Linked DNA regions of Astyanax mexicanus. The protein of the gene in region 2 purifies or fractionates together with the protein of the main gene of each other region. This does not show direct contact. Links are inferred from orthologs where the notes say so. Each region holds a gene or a part of one and is shown on either strand. Other genes may lie near its edges.

Evidence for each region.
Region 1: the proteins of aurka (region 2) and mtmr3 purify together in Homo sapiens (affinity purification with mass spectrometry; 3 studies listed by BioGRID and IntAct, counting the BioPlex papers as one, with this or other methods). This does not show direct contact. The link is inferred for Astyanax mexicanus from reciprocal best matches to the Homo sapiens genes AURKA and MTMR3.
Region 3: the proteins of aurka (region 2) and calcoco1a purify together in Homo sapiens (affinity purification with mass spectrometry; 3 studies listed by BioGRID and IntAct, counting the BioPlex papers as one, with this or other methods). This does not show direct contact. The link is inferred for Astyanax mexicanus from reciprocal best matches to the Homo sapiens genes AURKA and CALCOCO1.
Region 4: the proteins of aurka (region 2) and dicer1 purify together in Homo sapiens (affinity purification with mass spectrometry; 4 studies listed by BioGRID and IntAct, counting the BioPlex papers as one, with this or other methods). This does not show direct contact. The link is inferred for Astyanax mexicanus from reciprocal best matches to the Homo sapiens genes AURKA and DICER1.

Annotation. Positions count from the first base shown.
Region 1 is NC_064419.1:34,446,872-34,454,393, reverse strand, and holds the start of mtmr3 (myotubularin-related protein 3), read left to right. Parts: upstream 1-4,410; 5' UTR 4,411-4,581; intron 4,582-7,522. UniProt on the Homo sapiens protein: Lipid phosphatase that specifically dephosphorylates the D-3 position of phosphatidylinositol 3-phosphate and phosphatidylinositol 3,5-bisphosphate, generating phosphatidylinositol and phosphatidylinositol 5-phosphate.
Region 2 is NC_064424.1:42,037,619-42,045,245, reverse strand, and holds the start of aurka (aurora kinase A), read right to left. Parts: upstream 3,114-7,627; 5' UTR 3,104-3,113; intron 1-3,103. UniProt on the Homo sapiens protein: Mitotic serine/threonine kinase that contributes to the regulation of cell cycle progression.
Region 3 is NC_064420.1:1,176,980-1,185,075, reverse strand, and holds the start of calcoco1a (calcium-binding and coiled-coil domain-containing protein 1), read right to left. Parts: upstream 3,254-8,096; 5' UTR 3,079-3,253; intron 1-3,078. UniProt on the Homo sapiens protein: Functions as a coactivator for aryl hydrocarbon and nuclear receptors (NR). Recruited to promoters through its contact with the N-terminal basic helix-loop-helix-Per-Arnt-Sim (PAS) domain of transcription factors or coactivators, such as NCOA2.
Region 4 is NC_064421.1:4,264,861-4,272,494, reverse strand, and holds the start of dicer1 (endoribonuclease Dicer), read right to left. Parts: upstream 3,074-7,634; 5' UTR 2,974-3,073; intron 1-2,973. UniProt on the Homo sapiens protein: Double-stranded RNA (dsRNA) endoribonuclease playing a central role in short dsRNA-mediated post-transcriptional gene silencing.

The DNA.
Region 1 (7,522 bases), on a different chromosome or scaffold from region 2:
TAATCAGCTGTGTACTCTCCAAGTACACCAGCGCAGTCACACAAAAGTGAAACCATATTACTGCTCAGAGTGTAAGAAATATTTTATTACACAGAGTGAGCTCAACAAACACCAGCGCATTCACACTGCAGAGAAACCATATTACTGCTCAGACTGTGGCAAGAGTTTTATTCAGAGAAGTGGTCTAAAAACACACCAGCGCATTCACACAGGAGAGAAACCGTATGACTGCTCAGAGTGTGGCAGGACTTTTACTCAAAAGAGTGGTCTAATAAACCACCAGCGCATTCACACAGGAGAGAAACCATTTCACTGCTTAGACTGCATGAAGAGTTTTAAATTACTGTGTACTCTCCAAGTACACCGGCGCATTCACACAGGCGTGAAACCATATCACTGCTCAGAATGTGAGAAGAGCTTTCGGCATTCAAATTCATTTAAGGGACACAAGTGCACTGAGAGCAGTAACAGAAATTTGCAATAACACTTCTTTAACCATCTTAGGTCACAGATCTGGGGCCCACACAAAGAGCATGACAGAAATAATAATCAACTAATCTGCAAAATAATCCACAGATTAGTCAACAACCAAATTAATATAAGCTGTGATAAATTTACAGATAGGTAATAATATCAGATATGCAGATCTATAGACTGACTAGACTTATTAATAGGACCACATATTGTTAATGTAACTTTGACAAGTCATATGTTTCCATTGTTTTACACATGAGGCTGAAGTTTGATATTCGCAGCTCCAGATTTGTTTGGCTCTATATTTGCAGCCTCGTATTCCCCGGCTGAAGCTGGTTTGATTTTCGCAGCAACTGCTTCACTGAACGGAATTACTTTTGCTGTCAGGTGGAGAAAGGCTATTTTGGTTTCAGGGAATATTTAAAATTGCAGGGTGCAAAATCATTTGCCACCTATTCATTCCTGTTGGGGGAACCAGCAAAATCCAATGCTAATTACACACATCACAAAATTAGATTAACAAGTCTGCAGTTTGAATGATGTATGAAGTAGTGTAAGTCAAAGTGATGACTTCAGCCTCCAAATGGGAAATTTGTTGTTTAACAAAAGACGGGCTCATCACCTAGGACAGCAGAGAGCATGAAGATCCCTGATTCATTTGATACAACTACTATTAAAGGAATTAAATTATTCTTTTAGCCATCAACATTCTGATGGGCTTAAATATATATATATATATATATATATATATATATATATATATATATATATATATATATATATATATATATATCAAGATCTTTGTAATCTCATACAAAAATAAGGCTTGCACAATTCCTTGTTGGCTGTGCATCAACCAAACAAAGAAGTGAATATATATTTACCACAAAAACAGGGCTTGCAGCTTTTGAGGTTTTTGAAGGGAAGAGCATGGGTGGTGTTGGTGGGGGGTGTCAGCGCACAGGTGTGTGCAGGGTTGCCAGTTTAAAACTCGCCCATCAGAAGCTTAAACTAGCCCAAATATGTCACACGCTTAAATCAATGGCTTAGTATTTTGTTTTTATGGAAATTTTATCAGTGTTGCTATTTTTAAATTAGCAAAAAAGACCTGACCTCTACTCTTTAACATTTTTTTCATCGACTTGTGATTTCTGGTTACATTGTGATCTCTCTCTCTCTCTCTCTCTCTCTCTACCTTTCCCTTTATCTTTTCCATTTGAGGCCTTCAGTACAGGGGTAAGGGAAGGCCTTGTAAAATGAAGGGAGTAATGGTCTATTAGTATGTCTGTGTATTTTTTTTGTTTGGCAAGTACCCAGTAAAGAACGAGATCAAAACAAATCACCATGAGTTTTCCTTTTTTGTGTGCAACACTAGAACTAAAATGGGTGTGAAAAATGGCTGCCGAAATTACTGATACTGATAGTTACTGATAATTAACATTATTAGCTGAATACAATATTCTCCTAAATCAGCTGTGGTTAATTATATGATGTAAGTACAAAACCCATAATCGTATGATGAGATTTACTTACTGTAATGTACGCTCTTTAAATATGGCGCCCCCGCGTCGTCCTGTGTTGGTCTGCAGCGCCTTCTTGGAAAGTTATTGGTTGGATCACGTACATTTTACCCGGATACTGCGATGCTATTTTTTGATTGGCTAGTGTCTAGCTATAGTTCTTAATGTATTGACTGGTGTGGGGCAAGCTTCTTCGTCCACAGTTACAAATATCGGGGAACCTTGGCGGGCGTTGTTCTAGAAATGCCCGTGGAGGAGCAAAATGAGTATTTTAAATAAATAAAAATGTATTTCCCCCGTTAAATCATAAATGTTATATCTATGACTGCATAATGCTAGATGGAGCTGCTAGTGAATCCTCAATGTACAGAGAGTTAAACTGCTAAAACTTTACAATTAAAAATACCATCTAACTCTTTGTCCATGATTATAAAGTATATAACCATGAAAAAGAATAATAAAGTATTATGTTTTAAATATTTTAACAAAATACTGGTTGGCAAGTGGATTCTGAAGTAACAGTAAAAGCACGCTGATTTTACCTGAAGTATAAAAGCATGAAAATGCCTCTTTGTAAAAACATTCGATATTGTTTGATTTATAAATATAATATGATTTTGCTCAATTGCTCCGATATGAACCCATTAATTTTAGACTCGCGCCCTCTAGTGTCTGCAAACTCTTTAGAGATTCTCAAGTGGGTATTCTCTTCTTCAGAGATTCATACCTGTCAAGTCTCCCGTTTTGGCCGGGAAACTACCGTATTTAACTCCTCTTTCCCGCCGTCCTCCCGTATTAGTATTTTCCCGTAAATTTCCCGTATTATATTAAGATTTAAAAATATATATTATTGAGGAGACAGGGCACTGACCGCTCTGTGTCTCTTAACCAATCGTGGAGCCGGTTCAAGGAGAAAGTCCCGCCTTTCAGGAGAAACAGCCAATCAGCTTGCAAAGGAGGGTCAGCGTGGGGAAGCCCCCCGTCGCTGTGAGTTCAGGCAGCTAGTCGGAGCTGCTGATGTTAAAACATATCTGGATATTCAGCGATTTTTCGGTAGGCTAATCATGTAAACTGTGATGAGATTTTTCTGATAGCTGCTTAAAAATACTCGTCTCCGAAATAAAACACACAGATTAAACCTTTTAAAATAAAAAAATTACAGCTTGTGACTCGTACTAGAAATGTGGAGAGGACCGAAATTAACTGAACTGATCAGTAGTGTTCAAAAGAAAAAAGTATTATTTAAAAATTATTAATTGTGTAGGCCACTTAGGACTAATTTTTACTGATGGAATATGTGTGGTCCATTGCCTTTTAGTAAAAGCTCATAATACTATTTTTAGGTCACCTACAGTCATTTTGCAGAATTTGTGCACCCTTTGTTCAATTTTAAATCTATTAAATAAAAAAAAATATATATAATATAAAAGAGTGCATTTAAAGGCAAAAAAGACATGAAATCTTAACTTTTTTTAATATCTAGAAAAGGGTTTTTAATTTGGCTGTATTAAAAGAATGACATATGTAGGAATGTCCACAACATTTCAGATTCTGATAATCTAATTGTAATTTGTAAGTGGTTCACATGTGGTTATTTTAGATTTTTTGTAAACCTGCCTTAAAATGTAAGAGATACTGAACTTTCGTTGGGCTGGTGGGACGACTTTAAGCGGACGGAGGAAAATATCCCTTATTTTTAAATCTAAAACTTGACAGGTATGGAGATTCACTGCACTGGAATTTTTATTGGTTTAATTGTCTTTGGGTTAAATGTAATTAATTAGTCTGACACTGATATCAATTAAAAGTAATAAACACAAAACGCCGAGGTCAAAACTTTTTAGTAAGTAGAACCAATTGGCTTATACGGTTTATACGGTTCTGTTTACAATGGTACCGTTATTCCCTCTTCAGTCCCCATCACTATTGCACTATTGTTTTGTGTCTCACGTATATCTGTGACCTTGTTGTATTGTACATTTAGTGTCTCTGATTCTTTTATATTTATATTTTTTATCTTGCTGTACTTGTTGTAACTTTGGGAAGGAGAGTAACGTAATTTCAGTCATCTGTATGTCCTGTGCATATGCATTATTTACAATAACACGAATTGACTTGGCTTACTATAAATAAGCTTTATTTTAAAAGCAACTTAAATTTAAATTGAACAAAACAGCTGAGTACAGCTTTAATTGTTCTGGAACTTGAAAAGTTGTTCCCAGCTGGATCCAAAGAATAGTAGGTTCCACTAAATCTGGTGCAAAGACTGGCTGTTTCATTGAAAAGCACAATGTTTCTTGGCTCTTTGGGTGTAAAAGGGCTGTGTGATTGAGTGTCGACCCCAGAGCGGCCAGCAGATGGCGCAGTGATCGCTTTTCTGCGCTGCGATGTAAACGTAGCGACGCTCAGGCGTTACGTGATGGCGTCACTGCTCGAGGCTGGCGATGACGGCGGGGCTCGGCGGAGGGACGGACTGAAGGCTGCAGATGGATACTAGGCGAGATTTGGTCATTTTTTCGTCGTTTGTTTTATTTCCCGGGTCTCGGAAGAAAGTACTGGACAGTTCTGCAGCGGAGATTCCCCGGAGGTTAGTGCTCGGGCTCGTTTCTGCACTTCTGGCCGCTGCGTTTGTTGGCTGCGGCCTTGGCTCGGGGTCCGCCCTCCGCTCGGTCTCATAACAACAACAAAAACACAGCCCGCTCCGATAGCCTAGCCTAGCTAAAGAGCCGAGCCGGGACGGGCCGTGTGGAAGTGGTGGTGTATAAACTACTTCAGCTAGATGGTAGTGAGCCGTCAAGAACTGAATATAACAAACGTACAGCGACATTGTGTGATTCGCTGCGGTGTGGAAACAGCGCTGAATGTGTAAAAGCTGTCGGAAATGAACGTTAGCCGACCTGCTAGCTGTGCGTCCAAACTCTCAATGGAAACTTGTTCATTAGCTCCGAGCATACCCGCTTTGGCAGGTTGGCAGAAAAACAGTAGCGTTAAGTTCTGTGTTGAGAACAGGGCTTCCACTAAATATTATCGTGGTAGTCGAATAATCTGACGATTATTTGTCTGACTGGTCAAAAAGTCAACGATTATTTCAGCTATACCCTCAACCTCTGCCTCCTGTGGTTCCAAGCTCCCGTTTCTAGTTTTCTTTATCCCTCCAATACAACAGAAACAGCTGAATGTTGGATTTAAATGACCAGAAGACAATTAGCTATTTGATATTTAAGGAAATATGTTGTAATCTGTAATCGGTTGTGTGTCTGTTAACGTTACTTTTCGTGACTAAGCGAAATGTAGACTAAGTGAATCTCTGCACTTTGTGCAGTGTGCATTACATTTACAATTTAATGATTCGTTGTCATTGAAATTTACAGTAAAATAATGTTGATTATACTGATTAATCGTTAATCGTTGCAGCCCTACAAGAGACACACAGCTTTTTCTTTCACTGCTCTGCTTTTTTTTAAATATTTGTGCCATACGGGGCTGCAACAAATATTTGTAGATTGTAATTTTTTTTGCTGAATATCAGAGCATTTCACATCTATCCGAACGTCTTCTGGTCATTTTAAGAAAATTTAAGTTTCACGTTAAGCAGTTTTTATCATGTTTGAAGCGATAAAGAAAGCTAGAGACAGGAGCAGTAGCCACACAAAACCGAGACGGAGAGCATGGCAGAAATAATCATCAACTAATTAGAAAAATAATCGACAGATCTATTATTATCATCTGTGATATATTTACAGATAGGTAATACTATCAGGTATGTATATCTATAGAGACATACTGACTAGACACATTACCAGGATCACATATCATTAATGTAACTTTGACAATTCAAATGTTTCTATTAATTTATGTAGAATTTCGTTCTCTTCCATAATTGCATTGCTGCTGTTGGAAATTGTAATTCTGAAATCTCCACTATAATGAAGTTTCATTAGAAGTGGTAATGATGTGCAGTTCAGAATTTTGTAAAATTTTCTACTAGAAAAGTTTCAGTGTTTCTACTATTAAAAAGTAATTCATATGCAAATAGATTATTAATGTGAATTTGAGTGTCTAAAATGCCACATAAATCAGTGGTGACGTGAGATATGATTAGGTAAGACTAGTCAGATAGCTGAAAGCAGAAATGAGAGTTTCTACTAGTAAAAACTGCATTATAGAGATTTGAATCGAATTTGAAGGTTTGCTGGTTAACATTACAGAAAGGTTTTGTTTTTGTATCATTGTATTAGTTCGTGGCACATATAGTATTTTTTAAAATCTCAGATTTGTTTAAGAACAGGACTGCAGTGAGTGGGTCACACAGATGGGGCAGGAAATCAGAGCAAACAGAGACGGAGGCTGTCTTGTGTCACTGGGAGAGTGACACCTGAGAAAGTGAGACTGACCGATTCTTACACCGCCCACAGTTAGAGGCATTGACCTAAATGTAAGTCGAGAATTGAAGAAAAGGTGCACATTTGTCACACAGGACAGAGCTGCAGTGTGCTTCATGAATGGCCAACATTGACATAGGGCTTGCCCTTCTTGACAGGGGATTTCTTTTACTTTTAGCAGTATTTTAGGCTGGATTGCAGGATGGGCACTGCTTCGTATTTTTATCGTACCTGTTGTATATTAAAAATATATATCATGTGTGCCCTTGCTAAAAAAACCTGTTGTTTAGCTGCAGTGGTGAGGAGAAGCACGAGGCCTAGCGCTCACACTAGTAAACATTAGTTTATGTGCGCGTCAGATATGGTTTATCAGTTGCTGCCAGACGTGCTCTACGACCAGTGCGCTAAATAGAGGCTTTTGGTTGGGCACTGGGCTGCCCTTGTGTGTGAGCTCATGCCATATGACTCTCAGGAGACCCACAGGGCTGTAAGAAGCCCTCTGGCTGGAGAAATTCCACCCTCTCAAGACATAACAATCACTTAGCTTGTTTAGTTGGAGACATCCTCACAGTGTGTTGCATATGAGCAGTGTTCTTTATTAAATGTGGAATATTGTTTTTGTCAGATCAGAAAACAACAAAACAATGAAGGTTCTTTTTTTCTAAGTCACATTTGTCTGACTTAAAGAGTGCTAAAGGAGCATTATCCAGAGTCGCTGAGATAAAAGCACACAGATAAAACAGATAAGGTGAAGCTCTCAGAGTCTACAGGAACTTTCACTTTTTTTGTGAATGGTGTCTGGTCACATTGGTCACTTTCCTCAAATATGTGTCGCTGTAAATGCAAATTTTTAGTTTGTTCTGTTGAAGGTTATGGTTCTATTTAAAGTTGTTTTGCATAGAAGCCCTGGATTATTGTTCGGAAATGTTTACAGTAAAGGGCAGAAGTGCAAGGCATGGCAATGCCGATGAAGGGATGGTGTGTACACAGTGGCCGGTTGCTCCCGCTGGCATTAGTTCAGTGGTGTCACTCTTCTCCACATGTGCGCATGAGTAATACATCTCTCTCTCTCTCTCTCTCTCTCTCTCTCTCTCTTCCTCTCTCTCTTCCTCTCTCTCTCTGTCTCTCTCTCTGTACTGTCACTAC
Region 2 (7,627 bases):
GACTAGCTGCCTGAACTCACAGCGATGGGGGGCGGGGGGTCTTCCCCACACTAACCCTCCTTCGCGCTCCGCAAAACCAGCAAGCTGATTGGCTGTTTCTCCTGAAAGGCGGGACTTTCTCCCTGAACCGGCACCACGATTGGTTAAGAGACACAGAGCGGTCAGTGCCCCGTCTCCTTAATAATAAAGTTTTTTTTTAATATTAATATAATACGGGACATTTACGGGAAAATTAAAAAACGGGAGGACGGCGGGAAAGAGGCGTAAAATACGGTAGTTTCCCGGCCAAAATGGGAGACTTGACAGGTATGCTATTCTTTAGGTAGTTTCGGTCTATGGCTGTCTATGGCTATGTATGTCTTAAGTGTTTCCAGATATATACCATATCACCATATATAAGGAGGCCCCCAAGAGTGGGGAGGGGGAGAGAGAGCGGAAACTTCAAATCCGGAAAACATCTCTCTCCAAGGCTGGCCTAGGAAGCCTTGAAGGTTTTGCCTTAGTCTTTTGTAATAAATCATTGTACTACACCTAAGACAATGTCTGCTGTGTCTTCTTCCTCATCTTCAAGCATCTTCACAGCAAAAAGACAGTGGTAAACGACAGTAACCTGCAATTTAGCATAGCCGATTTACCTACTATTACTGAAGGAAAGCCATATCAACACTGGGGGAACCCACTAAACTTCTTACAAATAGGGAACACAGCAAGCATCTTACCCGAAACCCGTACCACTACAGCTGTGGAGGCCATACAATCCCTACTGTACCACCTCATTACTGGTTAATGGCTCATCATCCATCCATGCATCCATCCATCCATCCATCCACATTTCCATCTATCCATCTACTTATCTGCTTCTTTGTGGTCAGGGTCACAGTGGGTCCGAAGCCTAACCTGAATCATTGAGCACACTTAATCACTGGGCTACCTGAATTTTAGCGAACTGTTATTTTGGCGAACTGTCAACCATGCAGATTGATTTAGGGCATGGCAGTTTGTCTTTGCTATTGTAACGATGGGATAAGTATCCCTTGCACAGCTCAAGATGCACAAATGGCATGTACTAATTATTTTAACGAATCATGGGCATGTTTTGGGCATACCATTCCGTTTGAGAACCAAGTGCTCTTAACTGACTGATTTTGGTGGATTCGTATTTTAACTTCTGTGCAGTGCACAAATCCAACTTTTACACGAACAGTAAATATAATACAAATTAATATAACATCGCTGTTCTCGTAAATGATCTGCTTGCTCACCTTCACAGCAACAAAAACAACCAGGTCATGTTTCTTCTGCTGAGAAGTACCCAAAACACACCCCTTTTGTACACCCCTTTTGTACACGCCTTTTGTACGTTTGGAGCCACGTAAGGCATACTTTTCCTGTCGTTATGATAGCAAAAACACACTAACATGTCCTAAATCCCTCAGCCCTAAGCTGCATGGTGCACGGTTTATGACTTGGAGGCCCTATTTTAGTGATCTATAGGTGTATGGATCATTAAAATAGGGCCCCAAGTGCAAACCCAATGAGACAGAGTGGGCTTAGAGCCTGCCTTGAGTTAATGCACGCAAGACATGAATGCCCACTGGACAGTCTATCAGCCTAAATCTATCATAGGCTACAACATACATCCTTTCAAACCTAAGTGTTAATTTAGCAAAGCTACCTGACCTACACTTGTTTTTGGAAGGTGGGAGGAAACCAGAGGAAGAAGAAACCCACATGGACACTCATGCCCAGACAGTATGAAGAATCGGCTGCATGGCAGCATCAGCTGAACCTTGGCATCGGCCATGCAGAACTGGGCCAAATGTAGTTTAGACCAAATTCCTCCCAAAAGAAGACCAGAGCTGGCCCACCACCACAGACCTCTTGAACTGTCTACTGCACCACTGTGCCACCTAGACTATAAATTACTAATTAAAATACTGATCAAGTTAGCATTTAATTACTTCTATGGTGTAGTGTACACAAAATAAAAAGCTGTGCAGTACTAGTTAAAAGTTTGGGCACACTTTCTCATACAATGTTTTTCTTAATAGGTAGTCATAGTATGCAGTAAAAATATTTTAAAAAGTCTTGATGGTCTCATTTCATCATTTTTTTTTCATTTATTTTAAAATATCTAGTTGTTGTCACTAGTATAAATGAATGCCATGTGAGCCGTTTTTTCTGAAAAAAAAAAAAAGTGCTCAGGTTCAGGTGTTTCTATTTAGCCCTGATTTAGATCACTGAATGAGAGGTCTCTGAAGAAAGACTGTATTTGGTTCTTGTAAAATCTTGTAAAAGTGAACGGCTCCCGCTTTGACTGGTGCTCTATCGAGTTGTGCTACCTTGTCAAACCGTGCTTTCCTAGTGTATATTTAAGGCAGGGGTGTCCAAACTACGGCCCGCGGGCCATTTGCGGCCCGTTTCCTTTTTTGGAGCGGCCGGCAAGGTATTTTAGAAAATAGAATGAAAGTTGGCCCGCTGTTAAGCAGGTTTTTATAATGTGAGATTCAAAGTTTGAACGCTAGGTGTCAGAAACGGGCCAAAGAGTCTAAAAGCGGAGAGGGTGTGCATTTCTAGCGCAGAAAAACGGGGCAAAGAGTCTAAAAGCGGAGAGGGTGCACATTTCTAGCGCAGAAAAACTGGGCAAAGAGTCTAAAAGGGGAAAGGGTGCGCATTTCTAGCGCAGAAAAACAGGCCAAAGAGTCTAAATGTTGCCGTAATTAAGGAGTTTAATATTAAGAGACATCATGAAATGAAACATCAATATGAAAAATCTTAGTTTACACAACACTGTCAAAGATAAAGATAGTAAGTCAAGTAAAATTGTGTAAATGAAATAATCAGGAAAAAAGTATTATTTAAAGTGGTGTATTTCATTATTTGTTTTATTACAGAGTCTGTGGCCCGTGACTTCATATATATTTCTCCTTCTGGCCCCCAACAAAAAAAAGTTTGGACACCCCTGATTTAAGGTTTCGGTAAAATGTTGAATCAACCGGAGATCCTATTTAAACCTACAGTTACTTACACAAGATAGCTAATGCTAACTAGCTGTGTAAACAGAGCTGTAAGCTCCTCCTTAGCTATAACTCCTTCTGCTGTACAACTCAAAGAGACCTATAGTATTTCACAAAGAACAAGAAAAAGTGGATTATAGCGGAATGAGACAAACCAACTTAAAAAACAAAAGCTCAAAAAATACTCTGTGAAGAATTTAGCTGCTTTTATCTGGGGTGCTGTTAACTGTCTAAGCTTTCTGAGGCATCTGATGAAATTCTGTGCAACAGAGGTAACTCTTGCTCTTCCTTTTCTGGGGTGGTCCTGATGAGAGCCAAGTTTTATCATTTTCAGCATTTTTCTCGCTCTTCGTGACTGCACTTGAGGATCTGTTTAACGTTCTTGACATTTTCTGTACTGAATGAGCTTCATTTCTTAAAGTATTTTTTTTTCTTTATTTAGTTGAGTAGTTTTTGCTTCTCATAATATGGATTTACCTCTTCACAACTTTACTTTACCTCTTCACAACTTTACAACTGACGCTCTCAAACACAAGAAAGAAATTCAAGTAATTAATTAATATTTTTTCCATGTTCTGTTTGTTAAAAAAATATTTTTACTATATAATTCCATTTGTTTTCTTAATACTTTGGATGACTTAATCTATTACAATTAATAGACTAAAAAAAAAACATAAAAAAAATCACTGGATTGAAGACATATGACTGGTACAGTATATCCTTACAAATAACTATCACAAAAAGCTCAACGTAAACAGGCATGTTTGCTACTAGACTCGAATGCTGATGATCCCTTTGTTTACACTGTTACATATTCTGTACAACTTTTTGACAACAGACTAAATTGAGCGACCCACATGCTGGGTATTACAGGCTTTGAGAGCTTATTCAAGACACGCTCCGTGCATCATTACCCCGTAGCGCGTGCACTTTGATTTCTCTTCGTTTTGCGAGGTGTGATGGGAACTCCTGAGAGTCAGATTCAATGCTGTCAAGCTTTGTCAAACAACTTATTATGAGCAACCTATTTAAAACCACTACTACACCGCTAGTGAAGAGGGAACTATGGTGTTGGTTCTGTAGTTTCGGCAGTGACATCACTTCTTTGTTGAGAAGTTAGGAGGTGCTGATTGGTCCAGAAGTTGCGACCCCTGATAATTTTCATAATTTTCCTTTGTAAATCATTGGTTGTTCAGATCAGCAATTTAATTTAAATATATCTTATAGCAGATGAACATAGTGATACTGTGTTTTGAGGGGTGGAATGAAGTTTATACGATTTACAGAAAGTGTGCAATAATTCTTTAAACAAAATTTAAAAGTGGCAGTCCATATTATATTGTTTCTAAACTGAAAACAGAAGCTTTTCTGAGTGGAAAAGGGACAAAATATTGTGTTTAATGGTACCAGTGTGCTGAAACGACCATTCCTGCTAAGCCTTATATATTAATTCTTAAAACTGGGGGGTCAGGACACTTTTCAAGGGAGTTCTTCTTCTGGCCACGTCACGTGTCTTTACAAACTTACGTCTCATGTACAGCCTCTAAAAGAAGATCTGGCTCAGTTTTACTGAACGCGAGTGGCTGGTGGAGCAATGGAGACTTCAGAAGAGGAAACTCAGACCTCAGTGTCTCATTCACTCATAGTAAAAACAAAGAAACAAAGGAGTGAAGTTGCTTTCTCTCTCTCTCTGACTGAACATAACCTGGAATCGGATTCATGCGCTCTGAAAGGAGACCGCATCACACCCGCCCAGTGTAACATAATTTTTCCACATGCTTGGTGCAATTATCCATTCTCACCAGAGAGGGCCCTAAATACCCCAAATCCCAAATCTTACAGACATCAACTTTTAGAAGGTGCATACATTTGGGCACCCCAACAGAAAAACTGAACATCAATATTTAGTGACTCCATCTGCAGCAAGATGATGATGATGTAGGTCTTTGGAGCTGGTCTGGAGGTCTTTGGGTTGACTATGACTGTTCTCACCATCCTTCTCCTCTGCTTATCTGAGATTTTTATTGTTCTGCCACTTCAGATCTTATCTAGAACTGTGCCTGTGATCTTCTAATTCCTCACTCTGTTCTTCACAGTGGAAACTGACAGTTGAAATCTCTGAGGTTTGAGCTTTTGTATTCTTCCTCTAAACCATGATGTTGAACAATCTTTGTTTTCAGGTTGTTTGAGAGGTGTGTTTTGAGGCTCTCATGTTGCCACTCTTCAGAGAAGATGATGAGAGAAAAGAACATGCAATTGGACACCTTAACTCTTTCTAATAATTGGATTCACCTGTGTATAAAGGTCAAGTGTCAATGAGCATACCAAACAAATTTAGTGTTCCAATAATAATCAATAAAATGACCAGCTTTATTTTTTTGTTATTGTACACTTTCTTTAAATCCTATAAACTTCATTTCACTTCTCAAATATCACTGTGTTTGTCTGCTGTGTTTAACTGAAATTGCTGATCCGAACATCCAATGATTTATAAAGGGAAATCATAAAAACTATCAGGAGTGCCACTTTTTTTATACCACTGATATGTACACCAACAAATATGTAAAGCACATCCTTGAGGGTTGTTAAAAACATTTATCTGTTTAGGATTCCTCCATGTTTCCCCCATGTTTTCGCTGCTTGTTCTTGTGCTTGTTTGTAAGCGTTCATTAATATTTCATCAGCATTTCCTCAGATGACCCCATGCAGGCCAGTTAAGGCACCTGGAAAACAATTATTTGTTGAGTAATACAATTGTAAAGGTCTGAAACATGATGGTGCCAAATGCTAAGCTGTGTAATTAAATACAGATTTAATCAGCTTTCTGCTATTTACAAACTATAAATATAAGTACAAATTAGTTACGAATATGTAAGAGATTTTGTTTTTGTTTTAGTTTGGTTTACAGGGTCAGGACTGTTCAATAAGTTCATATGTTTAAACATTATATATATATATATATATATATATATATATATATATATATATATATATATATATATATATATATATATATATATATATATATATATATATATATATATATATATATATGTGTGTGTGTGTGTGTGTGTGTGTATATATATATATATATATATAGCTACAGCTACAATGGTCCAAACGTATTGGAACATTCAGGTCAATTGCTTTATTTCTGGTGTAGATTGAAAATGAATTTGACATTAAACTATTAATATAAGGTTAATATGAATAATAAATGCATCTGATACACTGTTTAGATGATAGCACAGATAGTACGCATCTTTCTTGTGAGCAAAAGTATTGGAACATGTGACTCTCAGGTGTGTTTTGTTGCCCAGGTGTGACCTGATTCATGAATTATCATTAAACATTAATTATATAATAAACATCATTCAGTTTCGGATTTGGGTTTTATCTGTGCATTTATATAAAAAAAAAAAAAAGAGAGCTGTCTATTGGTGAAAAACATGCAATTGTGAAGCTGAGAAAAGATGGAAACTCAATCAGAGCCATTGTACAAATATTGTCCATATCCAGAACAACTGTTTGCAATGTCCTGAAGAAGAAAGTCGTCACTGGTGTACTTAGTAACAGATGTTGAACAGGTAGACCAAGGAAATCCACAGCAGTTAATGACAGAAACACTGTGAGTGCTGTAAAGAAAAAAAAACCCTAAAACAACTGTTAGTGTAAAAGTTTTAAAGTAAAACTTCCAAATATTCCTCAAGAGTTACTTTTACTTTTATTAAAACAGTAGTTTTACATTATACTGAAACTTACTGAAGCTGCTTCAATGTAGGACAATCTTTAGCTAATAATATGAGATAAGGTCACTGAAAAAAGCTAATATAAAAGCTCTGTGTGTGTGTGTGTGTGTGTGTGTGTGTGTGTGTGTGTGTAACTGAATGCATGTTCCACCAATAGGTGAACCTATAGTAGCAGAATTCACTAATTAGTGCAGGTGTCTGGCTACTTTTGGACACATCAAGACCCAACGAAGACCTGTCTCTTTCCTCCATGAGCACGTAATTAAACACAGACCTTGCACTTATTAAAGCTCTGTTATTGTACTGAAAAATCTTATTTCTGCAGATATACAGGGGTTGGACAATGAAACTGAAACACCTGATTTTAGACCACAATAATTTATTGTGGTGACGGACAGTTCTGAGTTCTGGTGGAAACAGGAGAGTTGAGGTGCACATTGAATTCTGCCGTGATTTGAGCAGCCGTGCTTTTATGTTTTTTGGATACAATCCGGGTTAGCACCCGAACATCCCTTTCAGACAGCTTCCTCTTACAGCGTCCACAGTTAATCCTGTTGGATGTGGTTGGTCCTTCTTGGTGGTGTGCTGACATTACCCTGGATACCGTGGCTCTTCATACATCACAAAGACTTGCTTTCTTGGTCACAGATGCTCCAGCAAGACGTGCACCAACAATTTGTCCTCTTTTGAACTCTGGGTATGTCACCCATAATGTTGTGTGCATTGCACACAATTTTTTTGACAGGCAGAATAGATCGCTATTATGATTACTATTATTATGATTTTTGGTTGCTCCCCTCCCAGTTTAAATGTAGTTCATGTACTTCATAGAAAGTGTCCAGGTTCGGGTCTAGAGGTGGT
Region 3 (8,096 bases), on a different chromosome or scaffold from region 2:
CTTCATTTACCGACAACACGGGGTTAAACAGAAGGAGACGAGTCTGATAAATAAAATGCCTGAATAAAAAGGACTGATTTAGGAGTCATTTGCTGTATTATAGATTACAAAATAGCAAAAATCGTATAATATTTGAATAAAATATATATTTTTTAAAACATTCGTCTTACCTAATCCACATCTCTTAAAGAGCCACTACACCTAAAACCATCTTTTTTCCAATAATATCTGAAATGTGTTCCTTCGAAGTAATGAAACATCAGTCCTGCCTAAAATTATTAGAAACATTTCGTTTATAATAAACCTTTAAAAAATGCTGACTTCCAACCATCTGCAGCTCAGCCAATCAGCTCTCCATCCTGCTCCGCCCCTAAACCCATACATCACCCAGTGCCCCTCTAAAACTATTTTTTTTTTGAGCTGAGGGTGGAGTCAGCAAAAATCAGGGGGGTTAGCGCCCCTTTAAGAAATATCTCCTGACAAATGACCAACTTGTACCTAATAGCCATTTAAAATAAAAACTGAATAAACCTTTATTAACAGGGAAATCAGTCGAATACAGCAAGAGCTCTGCATATAGAGCCAAACAAATCTTGTGACGGACATCAAAAATTAATTTAATCATTTAATACTAATTTAATGTTTGTCCTACCTAATGCACATCTCTTAAAGAACCATATTTTTTTTATATTCCTGAAATGTGTTTATTTGAAGTAATAAAACATATCAGTCCTGCTTAATTTTTTAAAAAACTTTCCTGACCTTTAAAAAACACTTTATTGTGGTCATTTCGGCCTCTGCAGGCGAGGATGATGTTTCTGTGTACTCACAATATGCAGATCAGAAAATCGATAAAAACAATAAGACAATCAGCTCTCCATCCAGCCCAGTCTCTAAACCCATACATCATCCAGTGCCCCTCCCAAACTACTCGTCCAAGCCTTTTTCAAATTATACATATAAACACTGATTTAAAAGTAATTTGCTGTATTACGAAAGACAAAGTACCAAAAAACTGAAACTCACAAACATTATAAAACCTAATTTATTCACTCGATACATTAAAATATGACCGATAGAGCTACACTGACAGGTATAAACGCTTTTAAAGCGCCAAATCTTGCGGCTGTTCGTGAAATCAATAATTACTTCATCTAAAAATGTCTGTTTACAGCACCATCAAAGAGCCGCAACATCATGGGCGGAGAAGGTGGAGACGGTGGAGAAGTTCATAAAGAGAATTCAGTCTAACATCTGTACAGAGAACTCAGCTAGATAACACACTGAACCCTATAATTATTATAAACCTTCAAACAACCACCAAAATAAAAGACATGAGGGAGGAAAAGACAGAAAGAACAAAAAGCCTTTCTCTCTCCAAATTTAAAACCCCTAAAGATCAAGTAAATGTATAAATATAATTATGTTATTAAAATAATACAGAAACTGGGGAAGCGCAGTTCTAAAGGCAACAGGTGACTGAATGAAAGCAATACAGTACAACAGAACCAACAGGCCAACAGGGCTTTAATTAGCAACAGGAAACGGAACATATTGTATTACAGGCCGACACACAGAGAACACTGTTAACTATGTACCGAGAGGCTATTCTGAATAATAGGCTGCTTAACAGAATACTTACAAAGTCACAAGCATGCAAATGAGATTATAGAGTATTATATTATATTATATTATATTATATTATACAGTATTCTCAGTATTCTTATAACAGTAATTATTAGCCTGTTATAAACATTTACACAATAACAGGGTTCTCACACCTAGCTATAGCTCTTCATACTGTCTTGAATATTGTTCCTAGCCCCTATTTTTAAGAGCAGTTTCTACTCAAGTCTTAAACAATTAAAAATATGTTTAATCTGATCAAATTTATATAGGATGAAATGACTTTTCAATATGTGAGACAATAAGTATGTATAATCAACATTATTGATTATATTTACTAACTGCTGCAGCCCTAAAGTACACCTAATTTTTATATTAATTTACAAACTGAATGAGAAGTTAGTACAGTCTTATCTTGTGAAAAAAAAGCCTTTTGAAGTCTTTTTTTTACATTTTGCTCAGTAAAATAAACAGATAAATTTGAAAGATATTAAAGCAAAGACAGAACGGCTGCTTATCAGTACTTAGTTTGGCTATTTTCAAGGAGATGCAAGCAGGAATAAGAAAGTTTAATAAGATCATCTTAAAAATGTTAAAATTGATCTAGCTAGCTAAACAATTAAGTCAAGTGGAAACAACTAAAATATCTATATCTGTATAGATACAGTAACCTAGCTATTGTTCTGCTTATATTGTTCTGATTGGCCTGCTATCTACAAAAAAGTCTGTGAGTCAGCCAATCAGCAGTGTTTTTTTTTTCCTTCTGGACAGGATGATGGGATGCGGTCAGGAGCATCATGGCTCCCATCAAAACTCATTTCACCTCAGACTACTCTAAAGTATATCTCTGTCCGTTAAAAGTATTAAACAATGAAAGCCTTGCTCGCTGTACAGTTTGTAATAGTGATTTTAGCATTGCCCACAGGGGACTAAATGATTGCAAAAGGCATGTTGAGGTGAAATAATGAAGTATAAAGTGTATATATAACTTATACCTCCATGAAATTATTTTTTGCAACTTGGAATGTCTCACTGGAAAATAAAATCAGGGATAAAAGGGTTAATCTTAATCTGGTCACCTATCTAGTAGATTAATCCTTCTGAACATCATTTCTTTGGGCCTATATGGTGCCTTTAACATCAGGACAGACTGTAATTAGCTATGTTAGCTAGGTTAACTAAATTACAGTTTGCACATGAGGCAAATGAGGAAAACACAAGGCCTAAAGCAGCCAGCACAGATGACCACAGGCTGCACGCAGCTTTAAACACTGATAAATACACTGATTTTACAACTGTAATCAATAATAATCCAATGAATAATCCGCAAAATTAAGATTATAACAAGCAATTCGTCAAACTGACCGTTTTTTCCAGCCGATATTCATTTTTTGCTGCGTGTAAAACATGCAGTCAGACTTTCTGCAGCTTTTTAACCTCTAATAAACTCACCTTATTCACTCTCAGCTCCTCCGCGCTGATTCTCCTCAGCTGTCCGGTGTAATAAACCCGTTCCGCGGCTCCAGCGGCTCCGTTTTCCCCCTAAAACGGCTACCCGTCCGCAGCGAGGCCGCAAGCGTTTAACAACAATAACAAAAACACAAGCATGGCTGTTTCCACGGTGCCGCTGCATCACGGGAAGTGTAGTTCTCCTGCAGTGCGAGACTATACAACACTGTCTTATAAAAACTACAATCCCCAGACAGCAAGAGGATCAGCTCCGTTCGGTCAGCAACGCGAAACGTCACGTCGCATGTAACAGCGGACTTTACTGTGATTGGCTGACGTTTGACAGACACCTCACATGACCCTGTCTCATTGGTTGAGATTTTGTTTCCTTCCTTTTTAGACCAATGAAAGCGGAAACGTCACAGCAGCGGCGTCCCCTCATAGCATTGAGGGTAAAAAGAAGACACGCACGCGCACGCGCGCACACACGCACTGGTCAACATGTGACGATTGCGAAGTCAGTGTGGGAACTTAAAGAGAGAGTAAATCCACAAAGTTAAATATCTAATTTAACCAGAATTAACGTAAAACTATCGTGTCCAATAAAAAATATGAGTAATGATATTTTATAACAACTTATTATACTTATATACATAACATATTATGTTTCTGTCCCCAGGAAATTACATATATGAATGTGCACACAAAATATTTTTTAAATAAATAAATGTTTTTATTAAGCACAGTGTCTTGTACATTGACCTAATTGCAAAAGTAAAAAAAGTGTAATAAAAAATATAATAAATTGTCCTAAAAACAAAAATAGCATTAGTTACCTATCCCCCACTTTTTAACTATAAACTTTACCATGAAATATTATTAATATAATCCTTCAGAGGTGTATATATTTTTTGCATTGTTGTGTGACTCCCATCAAATCCAATCTATGCTGTAAAAATATTTTTTTTCTCAATAATGCCATAATATTTAAGTTAAAATACACATTTTAGTCGTATCCTTGTTAAGTTTAATTTGGAACAGTTACAACAAGCAAATGGCCCTTATATAAAATAAGCATGTTAATTAATAGCCTCTTACTGGCAACATCTGGATAGAATTGTCTGCGCAGAAAGACTTTATGAAGTGACTGGCAGAAATCACATCCATATTCAATGCAGGTGGTCCCATATTTATACCCCATAGATCAGTACAGCTAAATTCATATTTTACTTTACTTGGAAAAATTCTCTTTAAAAAAAAGTCTTAAGCTTTAGTCCACTCTGTCACAGTAAAATAAATTACAATAAATACAATCTATAAATATTTTTTCTATTTTTTACTATTTTTTTTTTACTGAAACATGTTGGATGCATGCATGAAAGAAATTAAAATAAGTAATAAAGTATTCTGTGTAAGATATTTCTGTGTAATCTTATGAAGAAGTCCTGTAAATATGATGAAAAATCTTCTTTTTTCAAGTTTGAAGTGCAAAAAAGTCAGAATTATAAAAAATGACAAATTAAAATTTGGCTTTTTTTTATTGATTGTTTTTATTTATTTATTTATGCTGCTGTGGGTCTGTACAGTGGTTAGAGATGGTGTTGTTTTCCTCATTACTGAAGCACTGTGCTGTAAACACCATGCTGTATCCTAATCGCTGACTCCCAGGGAAAACCGAACAGCCGGTTGAGGCGGCAGCGGGGCAGCAGTGCAGCAGTCGGAGGCCTGGCATTACATTCATTCCTCCAACTGTTTGTCTTCCCCAATTAGGCTTTAAAATTCAGAGTTAAAATTAAACCACTTCCTCTGTTGTCTACTTCACAGTAATATGTGACACATCCTGGTAAAACTGTGCAACAGCGACAGATTCCTGTAATTCAGATTTTTATTTAAGAGGCACTAAAAACACTAAACCATATTTATTTCTATTAATAGCTGAAATGTCTTCCTTTATAATAGTAAGACATACCAGTTCTGATTTAAATTTTTATAAACATTTACTAACCTTTAAAAACGCTTTTATTAGTAAAAAAAATAGTTTTATTAGTCATTTCTGCCGCTGCAGCGCCCTCTCAGGTTCAACTGTGCTATAGGTGAGGATGATGTACACAGACACTCAAAACATGCAGATCAATTAATCAATAATACCGCCCCCCTGCTGACGTCCAAACATCTGCATCTCATGGCTATCAGAGGAACACTGCTCAGTCCAATCAGCTCTCCCTCTTGCCCCACCCCTAAACCCATACATCACCCAGTGCCGCTCCCAAACTACTTCTTTTAGTTTCTTTTTTAACATTTTTCAAATCAGTAATACATAAATTACCTGATACATGATGATTGAATTGCATCAAATTAAAGCAATTGCATTCGAAATGTCTTATATTGCCCAAATTCAAAAGCTACAAATATTCATACAGCTCTGGAAAAAATAAGAGAGCACTTCAAAATGATGAGTTTCTTTGATTTTACCAAATTAAAAACCTCTGGAATATAATCAAGAGGAAGATGGATGATCACAAACCATCAAACCACCAAACTGAACTGCTTGAATTTTTGCACCAGGAGTAAAGCAGCATAAAGTTATCCAAAAGCAGTGTGTAAGACTGGTGGAGGAGAACATGATGTAAGGCTGCATGAAAAAAAACTGTGATTAAAAACAAGGGTTATTTAACCAAATATTGATTTCTGAGAGAAATTGGGAAAACTGTTGTCTCTAGTATATTTAGTCTATTCGCCATTGGGAAAAAATCAATCATTTGGTCAGTGCTCTCTTTCAGTTCTTGGACTTTTGTACAATTCTTGTACAATTACACAGTATTATCTGTTCTCACAGCAGAGCGCCTTAAATCTTTAACAGAGCTGTATAACAGACAGCAGGTGGCAGTACACTTTAACTAAACCTGCACTAAAGATCCTGTCTGGAGGTGGAGGTGGGGGGTGTGATGATGTTCTGAGCTGAGTGCTGACTGTAGAGTCTAATATTTGAGCTTGATGTGAAAAATGTGAAAGTGTGATTTGGTGCAGGAGAGGTATATAGACTACTACTTGCTTATTAACTGAGTATGACTATATATATATATATATATATGCATACATACACATATACAGCTCTGGAAAAAATGCAGTTTCTGAATCAGTTTCTCTGATTTTGCTATTTATAGGTTTATGTTTGAGTAAAATGAACATTGTTGTTTTATTCTATAAACTACGGACAACATTTCTCCCAATTTAATTCCAAATAAAAATATTCTCATTTAGAGCATTTATTTGCAGAAAATGAGAAATGGCTGAAATAACAACAAAAAAAGATGTAGAGCTTTCAGACCTCAAATAATGCAAAAAAAAAAAAAGAAGCTCATATTCATACTTATAAAGTTTTAAGAGTTCAGAAATAATCAATATTTGGTGGAATAACCCTGGTTGGTTTTTAATCACAGTTTTTTCTTTTATGCATCTTGGCATCATGTTCTCTCTCCTCCACCAGTCTTACACACTGCTTTTGGATAACTTTATGCTGCTTTACTCCTGGTGCAAAAAAATTCAAGCAGTTCAGCTTGGTTTAATCGTTTGATATGGTTTGTGATCATCCATCTTCCTCTTGATTATATTCCAGAGGTTTTAAATTTGTCCCTGTTTTTTGTTGAGTTTTTTATTTTTATTTTATTTATCTGAACTGTACGGCACCATTTCGGTCACCCACCTTAATCAGTAAATTGCATGTGGTTTTATATATATTGAGAAGTGTTTTGAAGCTTTGCAGTATGGGCTTGAAAACATTCCAGGCTGTAATTGCATAATGAGATGTTTATAGGCTACAGGCGAGGTAAAGGGAATACTCTGGGTTGCAGTAAAACACTACTCAGCCATATTATCTTTCATACTTTCGCGCGGCGAGAGAGTGAGACGGATGGAGGGTTATACTGGAGGGAAGAAGCTTGTTGAATTTGGCACAGTCCGCTCCGAGCTTCTCTGCTATCGGGAGGTCATAAGTCAGGGTGATATACGGGCAAATTAAAGCATAAGTGTTGATTTAACACTCACCCACCCAGGGTAAAGATTATAGTAAATACGTGGACATTTCACTTTGTCTTTTCCCCTTTTTTCTTTCTTCCAGCCCTTTGGAAGACCGTCCACCGTCCACAAAAGTGTTTTTATATCCCCTGCAGCTCTTAATCGAGCTCATAATGCAGCAGCATGACTCTCCCTGATCTTTTACTACTGGCAAAACATCTCAAACATCTTCCTGCTGGTGGAACGTGTTCGAGGCTATACTGTAAAAAAACAACAACTATAGAATCTACTCAAAAAAGTGAGGAAACAATCTGCACTCAGTGTGTTTGGGTAGATTTCACCCCGTGTACTGAGTAAAGAAAATACGACATGATTCCTGCTTCTTCATAATTCATACTTATTAGTTAAATATTACATATTATATTTCAAAATGACTAGCTAAAAACCTCTGCAAACTTTACTTTCTTACACTGAAAAAAATGATGAGTAAAATTTACCCCCCCAAAAAAGTTTCGCAATTTTCTGCATTTGCTTTTTTTTTTAGTAAATTTAATTTCAGATAAATTTAAGTAACTTCAACTCAGCTTAAAGACTTAAATGTTACACAGAGTAAATAAGTGAACTGAACTTCAGTCAGTCCTTTCTTTTAGTAAACTTTACTTCATTTCTGTATACAATATTACCTAATTACAATTACTTAATTTATACAATATTACTCAAATAATTAGGATACATATTATATTATAATTCCTGAAATGTAAATATTTTAGTTAAAACACACATATTACACTGTCTCAACACATGAATGGCATGTAATACGCTCTTTTTAGTACACTAAAGTACTATAGCATACTAAAAAAGAATGTATTACATGCCGTCCATGTGTTGAGGAAGTGAGACTTAGTAAATATTACTAAAAGAAAGGATTGACTGAATAAGTTTACTTATTTACTCTGTGTAACATTTAATTCTTGAAACTGAGTTGGAGTTACTTAAATTTATCTGAA
Region 4 (7,634 bases), on a different chromosome or scaffold from region 2:
TGTCAACATAAAAGAGACTGCCATATTTTTGGATTTTGTTGGAACAAAAACAACGAGCATATTTATTTGTGGCACTTTATAACAGCATTATTTTAACTGCTTAAACTTTAAATATTTTACAAATTATTATTATTATTATTATTATTATTATATTATTGCTGGATGCATTATAGTTTGAAGAGTTTCTTTTAAAGAAATATCAGCATTAGATTAAATAATATTAATATAGGTCTGGCAGAATAGATACTTTTCACTACTGTATTATAATGTCTCAGGATATAGTGAGCAGAGAGGGAGGGGGAGAGAGAGAGAGAGAGAGAGAGAGAGAGAGAGAGAGAGAAAGAGAGAGAGTGAGAGAAAAAGAGAGAGAGAGAGAGAGAGAGAGAGAGAAAGAGAGAAAAAGAGAGAGAGAAAGAAAAAGAGAGAGAGAGAGAGAGAGAGAGAGAGAGAGAGAGAGACATGTCAGTATAGAATTCCAATCCCAGCCCTAGAATGGAGGTACTAAATCTCTGGCAAGCAAATAAGTTTAAAAAAGGCTAAATAACATATGACGTCAAATTGCTGTACAGTGCTAGGATAGTAACATCAGCTAAGCTAAAGTAGCCCAAGAATTTGTTTGTTTACAAAAAGTCTGGCTGTGACTTGAGTAGCACTGCTGAGATAAAGTTATGGTTAGAACAGTACTACTGAGTAAGAGGTAAGTTAGAGACCAGTGGCACTTCTAATGTAAATGTGTTATTAGAATAACCCTGTTGAGACAAAATACATTGTGCTGGATGGAGCATAAATTATTCCAGAGAACACAGTTCAACAGTTGAGGAGCTTCATAGTTCAACCCTGCAATTAGGGGCCAGAAAATCATGTTTACGTCTCTACATTCTGTTTATTTGCGCCAGGGGGTCCTATTCTTTTGGCAGTTCTTTGTCAATAGTTGTGCTGTATCTGTACCCACTTTTTTATACTACACCACCCTTATAGTTTTGTATTACACTGTTCGGTATCCATCCATCCATACATCTTGCTTAAAGCAGCACTAAACCACCTGATTTTTGCTGACTTCACCCTCAGCTCAAATTTGGGTGATGTATGGGTTTAAGGGCAGGAAGAAGGAAGAGCTGATTGGCTGAGCTGTGCCTCTGATAGCAGTAAGATGCTGATGGTTGGAAGTCACCAGAGGTGGTATTATTAATTGATAGATTGATTGATTGATTGATTGATTAGAAGCTAACAGCGCTAGAAACAACATAGCTGAAAAGGTTCGTTCCTGTGTTATTTGTGCAAATATCACATCAGTGTTATATGTTTTGCCCAGTAATTCAGGTCTAAGGAACAAATGGTTAGAATTTGTCTATATAACACCACCAGTGAAGTACAAGTAGGTGTATGTTCTGTTTACACTAGTTAAAAATGAAAACCTGGACCTGGATTACCCACCTCTGTGTGTAACTATAGGTTTACATGGGATCTCCGGTGGATTTGGCATTTTACAAAGACTCTAAGACTATATCAGCGGCTGAACTGCACTTAGCAGTTAAAAAATACTCTTGTACTAGTATTACACTTGTTGTAAAATAACATATGACATTGCAAAGACTGTTATTAGTGTGAAAATGTCTTTATTTTAAAACGTTTTAACTGTTCTCCATCTCTCCGCTTCCTGACGTTGCAGTGCTGTTAACCAATCAGAGGCGATATGTTTGCATGTATGTATTCATGAGCAAGAGACAAATCCTGTTTGTTTCTACCCACCCACTGCTCCACCTGACTAAAGCAGCCTTATACCAGATTACCAGAGCTATTTTTTTATAAACAAAAACCAGCTCACATGGAATATATTCATACTAGAGACCTCAAAAAAATGATGGAACAAGACCTATAAATGTTAGGAAAGGTTTACAAAAAATTAAACAGGACTGGTATGTTTTTTTTTTTACTTCGGAAGAACACTTTAATAAAAGCTATTTATGATTTTAAAAAATGATTTAGGGTTTAGTGCCTCTTTAATGACAGATTAAAGATAATCACCCAGTGTGAGACTTTACACTATCTTACACTAAAGTCACTCAGATCTTGTGAATCTTGTGAATACAGCAGATTAAACTGATTTAACAGTGAAACAACAGCTTAAACACAGTAAATACTGTTATCAAAGTGTCAATACTGTAAATAATGTGTGTGTGCCAGACTCCAGGCCTCGAGGCGACCTTGGCCTTGTGGCTGCGTTCAGTTCACACAGCAATAAATCCATTTACAAACCCTAAAACAGCATTTCACCATGAGTACTGCATTCTGTAGCGCTCACACCTTACTATTACATTAATATATTAAGCTATAAAGCTGTAAATTTACAAATCTGAGCTGCATAGATTCTGTTCTGATCATCTGTGTGCCATCATGATGCTGAGAAGGGTAATTATATTCACATAAATCCGGGATAAGGTGATCAGATCATGGTTTGCAGGTAAGTAAAATATAGTATTTGCTGTTTAAACTTCAAAAACTGTTTAAAATAATAAAGAGCATGTAAAAAATAAGGTATAAGTCTGGTCAGCTAACGTTAGCTTAGCTACAGTGATCTGTATCCATATGCGCGCTGCAAAAACTAACCTAGGTTAGCTAACTAGCTAAAAAGCTAACTACATTATTAATTAAATTATATACAATAAAGCCATAAATACAGTTAATTTCCACAGTATACAAATAACCAAGATTTCACACCCAACTCCTGTCCGGTTTAATCTAAATTAACCTTATTTATGAGCTGAAACATAAGCTAAGCTATGAGCTAAGCGTGTTGGCCTGGCTGCTGATTAGCTTAGCCGCTATTAGCTTAGCCAGCCAAGCTAACGCACCGCGATCCGACATTTCTATTACACATTTTGCCCAAAATCGCAGATTCTAACCCCAAATCCGCCCCGCGGACAGTTTATAAAATGTGTCCCAGGTGTGGAGAGTAAAGATCGGTGTGTTTACCGGCTTTGCGCGGCTGGAGATCGCGGTTTTATCGGTGTTTAGTCCGTGAGTGTCTCTCCCTCCCGCTGCCGGAGAAACGGAGAAAAAGCGACCGCATACGGTTTTAGCTGCAAATTCACCCCGCGGGACTTTTATTCTACAATGTAAAAGTCCCTTCAGCACATTGGTTGTCAGATAAAATTATATTACTGACATACATAAATTTACTTATAAAAAAAATCGCAATGTATCATATGGGCAAAATATATAAATAGAGACATTTTAGATTTAGTTATTCTTGTTATCATTTTGGGTAAATATTATATATACTCATATAAGTGAAAAGCCATAACTCCATCATTCACATTGTTTATACATGATTTTGCCTTTTTTATATATATGTTTTTTTTTTCAGTGTAATATAATGTAAAATAATCCATTGCCCCTGTACAACTAAGAGGCAATGCGTAATTATTTGTAAATACAGTTTTAAGAGTTCTTTACTTTTTTATAATTTATATTGTATATATTGTACCCTTTATTTTATTTGTTATGCCTTGCTATCCATTTGTTGCTGTACTACTGTGAAATTCCCCACTGCGGGACTAAGAAATGATTATCTTATCTTCTCTTCTCTTTTCTTTTTTTCAAGTCACTAGAATATTTCAAGAGATTGAATAGAAATTGAATAGAAATTATATGATATCAAAGTCTTTGCTTTTTTAATTGTGTGAAACTTGACTTCCTTCATGTCCAAAAGACAATTATTGCCTCCTTGTTAGTATTTCTCTTTCTCTTAAGTGTTGCCTTATTCTGTTTTGTTTTTGTTGCTGTTTTTTTTTTTCCATTAGCTGAAAATGTACTTGTAGTGTACACTGGAAACCTTCCTAGAATAATTATTTTTGCTCTCACATTACTGTACACTTCTGCTACCTTTCTTGATTTGTACATTTACTTATTAAAAAAAAAGATCTCTGTTTTCTATTCATTAAAAAATAACTATTAATGTAAAATTATTAGAATTATTAATACATTATTTATACTAAGTGCCACAAACCAAATTGAGAAGATATAAAACTATAAAAAAACGTTTTAAAGTATTTTAGTAAAATATAAATATACCTTTTTTGTTACATACAGGAAAGTCACACATTACAGCAGAACAAAAAAACTAATAAAAAGCCTCAGAGAAGAGTGACATCAGGTGGCTGAAATAAATGTCTACAGCCTGCACTTTTCCCTCGAAGCACATAAACCCTGTGACATATGGGCCATGAGTGCAATTTGCTTTTTGTAACTCTTTCAAATTACATTTATTTTTAAAATCTTTTTCGAAATTGAATCTAATAACACATGTATTTGGTTGTTTAAAACATGTACTGGTCAAACTCAGACAGCTTTACTTATTTTTGTACAGTTGAAGATTATAAAACAAAGCTGAAGATGGTTACAAAACACTCATGTATCATTTAAAAAGAATGTGTTTAAAGCAAGTCCACTTATTCCTTTTATTTTCTCTCAAGAAAGCATTTATTTTAAAGAAATGGTTGACTGCATGTTCAGATAATTAATATTTATGACAAATAAAAAATCCTCCTGTTAATGGCACTCGTTCCTGTTACCAAAACTCACTCCTGTTACTGGTGTAAAGGAATTAAAAAGACTACAAAATAATAGAAAAATATTTATATATAATAAAATGAATTCTTAGTGAACAAAAGGGCCGGTTGTAATGTTTCATACTGCTGTTGGAGTTTGATTGATGTGCTGTAACAGCAAAAATTTATTTTTTTTGTCTGTTTTTATTTTGGACTACAATTCCCTGCACCAACAAGAAAACTACATTTTCTTTTATTAATTATCGCTCCGTGCCTCCAGGGTTGCCAGGTTTGCTGTTTCCCTCCAAATTGAGCTTGTTTAAGCTACAAAAAAACGTTAAAGAAGAAAGAAGAGAGTTCAAGAGGGGCAAGAACAGAAAAGAGTAAATAAAATAATGTTATTATGTTACTATTAAATGTTCTTGACTGAAAATTAAAACTGTTATAAATAAAATAATAAAACACTAATGTTACAATACTAACAATGACTTAAAGATAAATAACAATACTGTTCATAAATCCCTTATAAAATCAAGTAATTCACTCAGATGTTTTGCCATTTGCTTCAAACGTGTGACAAACTTAGATTTTGGTCTAGTTTAAGGTTCAGAAGGGTGTGTTTTAGACTGTGTTTGGACTGGATATTTTTGTTAGACCTGGCAACCCTGCTTCCGTACCTCATTAGGAGCTTGTACGCAGCGCAGGAGGTAAGCAGAGCAGAAAAACTCCGAAAATGTGCTGTTTTAAAATAATATATGTATTTTTGAGACACGTTCTTGGCAAAAGGAGGTTTTATATCAGTTCTAGACACATTTTTGTGTGTTTTTAGCAGGTATTGAAGCATATTTTGCCTAATAATTACTCATTTCTGGGTTACTAACGTTTTGGCGCCAAAACGCTAGTTACCACTATGACCGAACTGGCTCCCTATTTACTATTTAGGGCACTATAAAGTATATCAGCCATTTTTCTCCGAGTGTCCAAATCGTAAGGGAGAAGTTGCATGTGATTTTGAGGCACTATAAACTCCCATAATGCATCCTGATTTATAGTAAATATCGCCGTTTTCAGTGTGAGCTAAATGTGTCCCAGAATGCATTGCGAGACTCACTACTAATCAACAGACAATCGATCAAACGAAGCAGACAGCGAGCCACCAGGGTTGCCAGATTGATACAGTAGGAATCAGATAAGTCACTGTTTAAAATGTTTAGAATTAGGGGTGGGCAATATGGCTCTAAAATAATATCACGGTATTTCAGGGTATTTTTGCGATAACGATATACTTGGCGATATAGGAAAACTAAAATAATTCATTAATTTCAGGAATATAGTATAAGAGAATAACAGTATAATCATAATGTGGCAAAATAAATAATATAGCATAAAATAATACAATGCAGCAAATAATACTGCAGAATATTTAGTGCATGAATATAAACTGCGAACTAAAACAATTATACAATAAATACACCTAAAGCTTCACAGTAAATAATAGACTACTTTTAAGACAGAACAGCCCTATTATCACGATATGGATTTTTAGTATCATGATATTTCTTTGTCACGATATATTGTATACGATATAATATTGCCCACCCCTACTTAGAATCCTCCATAATACTGAGTAAAACAACCTTACAGCTAATGTTCAGCATATCTACAATATTACAGGGTTTATTCCAACGTGATCTTAAATAAAACACCTTAAATATTTTATAATATCACCAATTAAAAAAAAAACGTTATTTAAATGGTTTTATCTGCATGTTTATATTATATATGTGTTTTGTGCATTGTATAGTAGGACGAACGACCCAAAGCAATGAAATGAGTAAATACGTAGAGTTACATAATAACCAACACAAACACTTTTTATTTAAACTTCCATCAGCAGGACTGAAAAATCCGTCTCTGCAAGTTTAGCTAACTAACCACAACGCTGAAGAGTTATATTTTCAAACTCTTAACACTTTATACAGTCAATTTTAGACACAACTCAACATTTAGTATAAAACAGCCAATCTGGCAACACTGCAAGCTGATGTACGCTGTTTATTTCAGATGTAGTTAATTAATGTGAGGATTATGTTTGTAAACAGCGTAACTTAAGTATAACAGTCAGAGAGGAAGAGCTTCACTAATTTTAATTCAGAGCTCAGTTCAGTGTGTTTATGAAGTTTTAAACACGGTGTTTTGTCGAGTTGTGCTATCTTGTCAAACCGTGCTACCCTAGTGTATATTTAAATGTTTAAAATACATAAGTAGCACCATATTATAGCATGTTCCCTGTAGAAAGCCCAGTAAATGTAGCTAGTATTTTTGGATAGCATAAATCACTGTGTCATGGTAAAGTTATGGCAATGAGAGGTCATTACAGACTGCTTTATTTTATTTTTTTTTTGTAAATAATAACTATTGTATTTATTTTAATTAATTAATATTTCCACTTTTGTGCAATGACAGTGAGTCCAGCTTGTTTAATGCACAAAATACATTTCTATTATGAAAAAAAAAAACACAAAAAAGGTGTAGGTCGGCGCATGCGCACTACCTTTATGTATCGATGGGTAGCATAATGGGTAGCATAATTTGACAGAACACCGTTTCAGTCAGTCAGATGTTTATTTATGCGAGCAGAACGTTTTATACACGCTCTGAGGGCGTGTCTGAATTCACTTCTGTTTCACCACTACTTAGTGAATTCGGACACGCCCTCATCATTAACATGCGCCCGCTCTGCTCCCTTAAACACCTGACCGGCTGAACTGTGTTTCAAAACTCCATAAACACACTGAACTGAGCTCGGAATTAAGGTTAGTGAAGCTCGGAGCTGATCATGGAGTCAATAATCTCTCTAACTGTTATATTCACGCTGTTTAGAAACATAATCCACACATTAATAATGAACTACATGGAGAAACTCTTGAAATTAACAGCGTACACCGGCTTATAGTGTTGCCAGATTGGGTGATTTTATGAAAAATGTGGAGTTGTGCTTTGAGGGGTGGACAAAATGACCAAGTATTAAAAGTCCATCGTTGTTTGTTGTAGTTAGATATCTAAAAATTGCAGAGACAGAGC